3 linked regions of the Kluyveromyces lactis genome follow. The protein of the gene in region 3 interacts with the protein of the main gene of each other region in a pairwise test. Links are inferred from orthologs where the notes say so. Each region holds a gene or a part of one and is shown on either strand. Other genes may lie near its edges.

Region 1 (2,998 bases), on a different chromosome or scaffold from region 3:
CATCAGCACCATCTTGGCATTGAGGCCTGGAAACAACCCGGTATCTAATGCAGAAAAATATAAAGCGCTTAATAACTTCTCATCTATATAAGACATGTCTAAGGTACACTGGTTCTCTGAATTGGGACTAAGGATATAGTGTAATGATGAATAAATTTAAAAAAATTAATGAAGGGGATATCTGATTGATTGTAACACAAATCCTACTTGAAGTTGGAAGTAAGAGATCGAACATACCACGCTCCGTCTGTTGCAGATTGACTAAGGTTGGTTAAGTATAACTGCTCATTATGAGTGCGTATGTGTGCAAAAATTGGAAGATGAATATGTGGGATGCCTTCGCTGTAGTAGGAAAATCTGACGGTATAGAGGTCATACTTGGATTGGCAAACACTACATGCTGGAGATATGAGTACGCATATTCCATATTATTAAACAAATTTGGTAGAGATAATTATTTTTGTTTTCTATTTTGAACATATTCTTCTTTCCCTACATGCCTAAAGAGACGATGGTTTATTGAAAAATCATACTACATTCAATCAGCGTAATTGTTGAATAGCATGTTGGCAGCAATTTCTTCGTTTTTGTCACATGCGAAGTAGATTTGCACCACCAAGGTCCTCTCAAAACCCAACTCGCAAAGTCTATTGATAGCTTCTTCATCTTCTGCTGAGATAGTAACATTGGGAGGCGCGCCTTGAGTTTGTCCCCCGAAATCACCTAGATCACCTTCTGCTATGTCATCTCCCAGATTTTCACCCAAAGAATCGGTTAGGGAACCGCCAACAGCTTCTAATAGCAAAGAGATAAACCTTTGTGGATCTTGCAGCATGGTCTCACGGAGATGTGGGTAACGCGTGCTTAGACTCTCGAAAAGTGGCATTAAAGCCTCTGGACGCCCAGATACAACGTCACGAAGTTGTGTAATGTCCTCCATAGTCAATCCGATTGTGCCCATTTCTTCTCCACCTAAACCAGCAGCGGATTCATGACCTTGCTCGCCATTATTGGCTTCTGCTTGTGCAAATAAATTGTCTTCATGTTCAGTGAATTGTGATGGCACGTCTGTTGCAACTTCAGAATTAGCATTCGCCCCAGCTTCACTAGTTACAGCTTCAGCTTGTTGCTGCGATGGCTCACTGGCTTCAGGAATACCCATAAGCAAATACTCCACTGCACGGTCAGGGTTGTTGAATGCTGCTCTAAGCGCACGTTCTACTTGTTCACGATCATAACCCATTTCCATGATTCTGTTCACAGTCTCGTTACGTTGAGAACCAGTGACAAACGAAGCATCAGTCGTCCCTTCTTCTTGTGTAACTGCAGTAGTACCTGTTCTTGTACCAGTGGTTGTAGCTTCCGCAGGTGCATTTGCAACTGCAGAAGTTTCTGCAGAAGCAGTGGCTTGAGATTCATCTTGGGGTTCAGTTGTGGATTCAGTTACCTTAACATCAGCCTTTTTCTTAGTTTTGCTAATCATGAATATAACCTGATCCCCTTCCTTAAGATTGCATCCTGATACGGTCTTAGGATCCTGGAGTATCTTACCTGCGTAGATCAACTTTATTTGAGATGCATCGCACTGTTTTTGTTCAGCGATCAATTCCTTGGCGTGTGAAATGGTGGCATCATCCGCCAATTCAATAGGTAGTTTTTCCTTTTTGAAATCTTTAAAATTAATAAGCATTATGCTTGTGATTTTCTTGGACTTTGTCTCAACGGTTGTTTTCTTGACTTTATCTTCTTTGCCACCCAGCCATCAGATTCAAGTTGATTTGGCATTAATTTCAATTTCTTTCACTGTTCTCAACTTTCATTTTCGATGTTGACAAAAAAAAAAACTGAAGGTATCTGACAAGATGCAGAACTCCGGAATACGCTGAAAATTACAGCTTAATGCAGCTTGATAACGTGTTTTCAGTATTTGCTTGCCTGTAATAGTTACCAGTAGTAATATGGTTTGAAGTAAACAAAATGAACAGATTATTGCAAGTACAATATTAGTATATAATGCATTTAAACGTAAATGTAAAAAAAAGTCTATTGATAAAAACCTCGATAATGATCTAAGGTGCATATTGTACAACTAGATACTCCAACGTGTTACAGTCTGCCTAATAATTGAATAATAATAGGGGATGGAAGCGATGAGAATTGAAATTAGATGGTTAAGATATCTTTTTAAAAAATATCTCGTTAGTGAAGAATGTATTTGTGGGTTTTATAATCTTCTTTACTCTTCACTGCCTAAACAGAAAATTATTAATGAGCAGGATCAAAGTCCAGTGGTACTTCATGTGAATCTTGATTATTTCCTCCGTTCCTTGAACCATCATCTGCTTCATCATCATCTGACCAGTCCACTTGAATCTTCCTATCTAGGACATTCGGATCAATGTTCTTCAAAATTTGTAACCTTTCTAGCTCCCACTCATCTCTCACGTCATCGAAACCAATATCCCAAATTCTAGCATAGAACTCTTGAATTTTTTGCTCTTCAACCCGACGTTTCTCTTCCTCGGCCATCCAGGCCATGTGTTTCAAATCGTCACTTGAAGGTTCGTAAATGTGCCAGATCACATAATGAGGTAGACCGACAACACTGTATTGCATTCTACGTGATAATTTACCAAAGGCTTCAGTTTCAGCATGTTTCTCGAAAGAGAACGCAGGGAAATGAGAACCTGTTCTAAAGACCTTAGCTTTAGATAAGATGGAAACACCACCAATTCCGTCTAGTTCCATCTCGACCTCGGGATCGCCGCTTGGGTCTCTCATGTAGGCCAAATGTGTTCTCCATGTAGCGTATTCCGGGTACCCTTCTACGATACAAGCATCTTCATCCAAAGAATCAGCTAATTGTAATCCACCCTCAGATTCAACCCATGAGTTCAAATCATATGGTTGTATATTTCCCAACCAATCGGGTAGAGGTCTCCAGACGTTTGGAACAATGACGTCTTTATCATGATGCATTAAATCTTCCAAAATAGTA
Region 2 (2,774 bases), on a different chromosome or scaffold from region 3:
GCGAGTTCTCAAACATGTGTGACTACTTGTTTTTGAAGGAGAGAGTTCCAGGTGAATCGGCAAGTAAGATCTTTAAAGTCTCTGATAGAAGAGCCAAACAATTACCAGCTGTAGGCCTACTCATGGCAGCAGCTTCCGAGTCATTGCCCAAGATCAAAAACGTTCATTTCAGTGAAGGTGGTGTCAGAGAAGGTACTTTATACTCGATTCTTCCAAGGGAGATTAGAGCACAGGATCCACTTGTCATTGCAACCAGACCCTATGCTCCTTTGCTTGTTCACAAATATTTGGAACTATTAAGGACTGCTATACCTACTAAAGAGATTCCAAAGATAGTATACGAAAGAATAGCTCCTGCTCTTTGTAACCTCGCTTTCGTACACGCTTCATATCCAAAGGAACTACAACCGACCGCAGCACTACGTGTAGGTACATCTGGTATCATTGCTGGGTGTCATGGGCTATCTCACAGATCAAGAGCTTTGGTGGGAATAGCATTGTGCAATAGATGGGGTGGAGACATACCAGAACCTGAAGAAGTGTACAAAAAGCTATTGGAAGACATTGCACTAAGAGATGGTGACAAACTAGAACGTGAAAGGACAATATGGTGGACAAAATACATTGGCACTATCATGTATGTCATTTGTGGTGTTCACCCTGGTGGTAACATTGGAGATGGTGTCTTCCATTTCAGCACTTCGGAGAAAGATGAATCGGCTATTGATTTACAGATGCTATCTATAGATGAGAACCTTTCAGGAAACGGCAAGCCAACTCCAACAGGGAACCCGAACAAGAGGATATTCGAAGTTGTTGTCAAGATTAACAGAAACGATCTAAAGACTATTGCTTCTGTGAGGCAAAGAATCATCACGTTGCAAAAGAAAATAAGGAAATTATCCCGTGGTTCCAGCGACAAGGTTAAGATCAATGTAGAATTCTATTGAACACTCAATTGCGATCTCAGTATGTATAGGCTTTATATAGAATGCTCTTTATTTTACTTCCCTCAGCCTCCCTTCCTGTTGAAGATTTAATATCTAATTTACCCTGTTTGTAACAAGCCTCAGACCCTAAAATGTGATATAAATATTCGTGAAAGCGCCATATAGGTAGTGTAGTGCGCTGCTGTGTACTACTATCCGATGGTCGTATCCTCTGTTGATCACTCTGTTTTAGCTGGAAAAATATAGCGTTACCCGCCCTTTAACATTTTACCTTATTAGAACGATTTTGCCACTATCGAATATAAGAGAGACATGCAATTCATAATTAATACATAAGGAGTTCACTTCACGACAGGTTACAATCAACACTAAAGAGTCACCAAGGGTATTTTCTGCGAATCCAATCCATTGAAACACTTTCCAACATGAATCACGATCCATTTGCCTGGGGAAGGCCATCTGACGAACACTATGGCGCGTACAATCATGCCATTGCCCAAGCGTCAAATAATCCAAAGATGAATACTCAGAACCCTATTATTACCGGTACTTCTGTCATCAGTATTAAGTATAATAACGGTGTTATTGTTGCAGCTGATAATCTAGGTGCTTACGGTTCGTTATTACGTTTCACAAACGAGGAGAGATTGATCAAAGTGGGTCCCAACACGGTTGTTGGTGTATCCGGTGACATTTCCGATATGCAATACATTCAACATCTATTAGACGAGATGGAAATTGAAAACAATTACGATAGCGCATATGCGGATAATGAGGAGCAATTGAAACCAAGCTTCGTTTTTGAATATCTATCATCTGTGATGTACCAACGTAGATCCAAGTTAGATCCTTTATGGAATGCGATAATTGTAGGGGGCACAGAAGATGGAAAGCCATTTTTAAGATACGTTAACCTATTAGGTGTCACATACTCTTCGCCAACGTTGGCTACAGGGTTCGGTGCCCACTTGGCATTGCCCCTTTTAAGAAAGCTAGTAGACACCGAAAAGGACGTGGAAAAAGTGAATCTAGATGTTGCTAAGAAAGCTATCCTAGAGGCAATGAAAATATTATACTACCGTGATGCCCGTAGTTCACGTAAGTTTTCATTGGCTATAATCGACAATGAACTGGGGCTCAATATCGAAAAGGACCTACAAGTAGAGAATATGTCTTGGGAATTCGCCAAAGACATCAGAGGATATGGTACCCAAAAGGTATAGGTTTCGGATTTACTTCGTCTTGTCTTCATGCTTTCACTTATCCACGCAGATAATACTTGCACCAAAATACACAATCTCATGCCAACAAAGGAAGAGCAACACATGGTGATCCTGCTCTGGTAATATATACTTTCTTTGTCAATAACGGGAAGACCTCACCTCTTCTGTGTTTTCTCTATAAATGTATACTATGCGTAAATTCTGAATTAGGGCACATATTCACACATAATACACCAAGAAAGAAACTGATCAAAACGGCGTCAATGCTGTCAACTACTGGACAGCCAGCTCAGTCATTATGTCACTAAGATATTTCGAGTGAAGGGACCTGTATATATGAAGGTTATCGTTGGAGTTACCTTTCTTTATTCTTTTACAGTTCCAATTCTTTTAGAAAACAAGTTTAATTCTATATAAACAAGTAGTAACCTAATTGATTAATGAATCATCGACAAAGGAAAGACTAGAGGACTTATAGCGCTAGCCCAGTATACCTATATTCCATACTCTCAAATACAACTGGCTTGTAGGGTAGGCATCTATACGCCAGGAAACAGATTTTTACCGATATCTTGCGATATATTTCCATTCTGGTTTCGAA
Region 3 (2,595 bases):
ATTTTGCCCGGAATTTGAGCAACGTTTCGCTCTTACTGCAAATGTCCATAATGAAATTGGTGACAACATCATCGTGAACATCAAGCTGCTCAGCAAGAAGAGTCTTAACCCTTGTGGCTGCTGTGCTTCCAGCAGTCTTGTTCACCACATCATAAATGTCGGACACAACAGCGGCACTCAAATCCTGATCCATCTCCAACAGTTTTTTCTTAAACTCATTCTTCGTGGTACAGTTCTTATTTATGTTGATGATAAAATCAGCGACTATCTCATCATCTAAACCGAGTACTTTGCATATCTCCTTCTTGACATCAGACATGCTATTCGCAGCAGCAACCTTAACTTAGGTAGGTACTAGAAAGGACAGATCAGACGAAGCTGTTGCAGTGATGTTGCCTATCCTTTTTTTCATGTTTTGTTGAGATGAGATGAGATAAGATGGTTTACAATAAAGTCAATAAATCTCAAAATTGTATATTGATCAACGTCAAAAAGAGAGAGAAGACAAATCGATACACGCTAATCTACCAGCGACACCTCCAAACTTAAAATGCTTTTGACTCTTGGGTATTTCTGAGATAAGATATTACTTTGAGTTTTGTTTATACAAAAGATGTAAATATGTGTATGTACTTGATTCTGGTTAGAAAGATTGCACTAAAAGTCGTCAACGACCCTAACACCATCCTTATCCACGATTTTTACAATAACCCCCTTGAAATCAACTGGCATTCTTAGCTCTAGCTCTTGTACACATTGCTTCAATAAACCTAAGGCTTCATCTACTGTTAAATCCTCTCTGTAATGACGATCCAATAGAGAGAATGTGTAGAAACCAGCGTAACCGTGGGCAGCGTATGGTAATTCTACCTTAGTACCTAGATAATCTATCTGGTACAACTCTGCTTTCTCATTCTTGGTATCATAACCACCGATTAATACGTTAACTTGGAATGGTTTCCTCGATCTTAGGGATTTAGCCAATTCTGTTCTAACAAAACTCGATGCCGCATGAGGAGACAATTCATAATTTTCTCTAATCAAATACAATTGCATATTAGCCTGGATATATTCAGCAAACTGTACTGTATCACCAGCTTCACCAGAGAACGACATTAGTGTGTGAGGGAGTAATTGTCTGGTCTTGTCATCTGAATCTTTCAAAATTGAAATACCCCTAGTTACAGCCTTTGAAGAGGCCAATATCACCGAATCCTTGACTCTTATACCTAATAGAACATCCATTGGGAGATTTAGTATAAACTTTGACTCTTTTCACTGTCGATAGACCCTATATTTCCCTGTTTCCTCCCTGATAAAGGTTTGCCACCGTAAGTGTATGTTCTTTTTGTCAATTGTATTTTAGTTAAACATTTTCAAACATCATTTAAAGGTTTTCCACTGTATGAAAGGTGACAATACACAGAGAGAGAAACAGACAAAGCGTTTTATTCGCAGGAATGAAGCCCAAGCTAGGCGCCAATTGTGGGGTGATAGTAACTAAGAATACACTTGTTGAATGTTTTTTATTTTACTGTTTTGTTTCAGGTAGTATCGATAAATAGGTATTGTTCTTATTTGTAAATATACATATGTATATATGTGCTTGATCATGCAAGACAGCTGAATTAGGCATTCAGAAGTCAATAGACGACTTGATATCTTCTTCACGGTCTCTCTTTTGTGAGGATAATTCTTGTTTGACCAACTTGTTGACATACTTTCCGAACATGTCTAGGTACGGTTGTAGTGAAGTGCGTTGCACTTGATTATCGTTAGTATCCATTTCGTTCTGTAATTTTATAAGTTTTGGTGCCATTTCTGGTGAGAACTCTTCTGTAATCGGTACACAAACGTTACCAGTGGATGGATGTATACAGAATGGAGCCTTGAGTAAATGGATGGTTTGTTTTGTGACTTCCACATCTAATTTAGGGTATAGCGTTTGGATGATGATATCTTCTTTACTCTCGCGTAGTCTCTGCAAATAATCGTGTTGTCTCTGTTTAGGAAAGCTACTTATTAGCTGAGACGCTATCACATCCATGTCCTTCCATTTTTCCTCACTTGATCTTCCAGGTTTGTTGGTCCATAGTTTCTTTAGCTGCTCAGATAGCTGTTTGTCGTGACAACTGGTAGCCAAAGATTTTATCGCTAGTTCATCATCTCTCCAAGTGTCTTGTTCCCTTAGAATGATTTCAACGAAATGAGGTTTCAAAATCTCCAGAGATCTTGATAGATGTGGATGCAGCGGTCTAACCAAATTCAATCTCTTCTCAATATTTCTATCCCTAACCACGTTCATATAATCCAACATGTTCTTCCTATGAGAATCCGTCATGACCCTGGCTCTCTTGTCACTAATCCAACAATGGGCACCACGTCTACCAGAGAAAACCCAAATGAACTCATCAAAACCGAAATCATTTTCCAAAGATGAATTGATTACTTTCATAGCTAATTTAATAAAGTGCCAACACTTGGGACACACTTGTGCCCCAGAACAACATGTTCTATAACTATCATAATCATCCATATCGATATCGAAAACTAATTCTTTCTCCATCGGTTTCATCTCAGTCTTAAGTAAAGAGT

Evidence for each region.
Region 1: the proteins of PRE1 (region 3) and RAD23 interact in binary tests that used the Saccharomyces cerevisiae proteins (3 or more experiments, as listed by UniProt). The link is inferred for Kluyveromyces lactis from reciprocal best matches to the Saccharomyces cerevisiae genes PRE1 and RAD23.
Region 2: the proteins of PRE1 (region 3) and PRE4 interact in binary tests that used the Saccharomyces cerevisiae proteins (3 or more experiments, as listed by UniProt). The link is inferred for Kluyveromyces lactis from reciprocal best matches to the Saccharomyces cerevisiae genes PRE1 and PRE4.

What each region holds. Positions count from the first base shown.
Region 1 is NC_006041.1:1,974,097-1,977,094, forward strand, and holds RAD23 (Rad23p), read right to left. Parts: upstream 1,691-2,998; coding exon 539-1,690; downstream 1-538. Other genes in the region: putative acireductone synthase UTR4, read left to right, coding at 1-91; ANP1 (Anp1p), read right to left, coding at 2,266-2,998. UniProt on the Saccharomyces cerevisiae protein: Plays a central role both in proteasomal degradation of misfolded proteins and DNA repair.
Region 2 is NC_006040.1:986,469-989,242, forward strand, and holds PRE4 (proteasome core particle subunit beta 7), read left to right. Parts: upstream 1-1,375; coding exon 1,376-2,173; downstream 2,174-2,774. Other genes in the region: RTG2 (Rtg2p), read left to right, coding at 1-950. UniProt on the Saccharomyces cerevisiae protein: Non-catalytic component of the proteasome which degrades poly-ubiquitinated proteins in the cytoplasm and in the nucleus. It is essential for the regulated turnover of proteins and for the removal of misfolded proteins.
Region 3 is NC_006038.1:1,023,608-1,026,202, forward strand, and holds PRE1 (proteasome core particle subunit beta 4), read right to left. Parts: upstream 1,246-2,595; coding exon 658-1,245; downstream 1-657. Other genes in the region: DEAH-box ATP-dependent RNA helicase PRP22, read right to left, coding at 1-319; DNA primase subunit PRI1, read right to left, coding at 1,637-2,595. UniProt on the Saccharomyces cerevisiae protein: Non-catalytic component of the proteasome which degrades poly-ubiquitinated proteins in the cytoplasm and in the nucleus. It is essential for the regulated turnover of proteins and for the removal of misfolded proteins.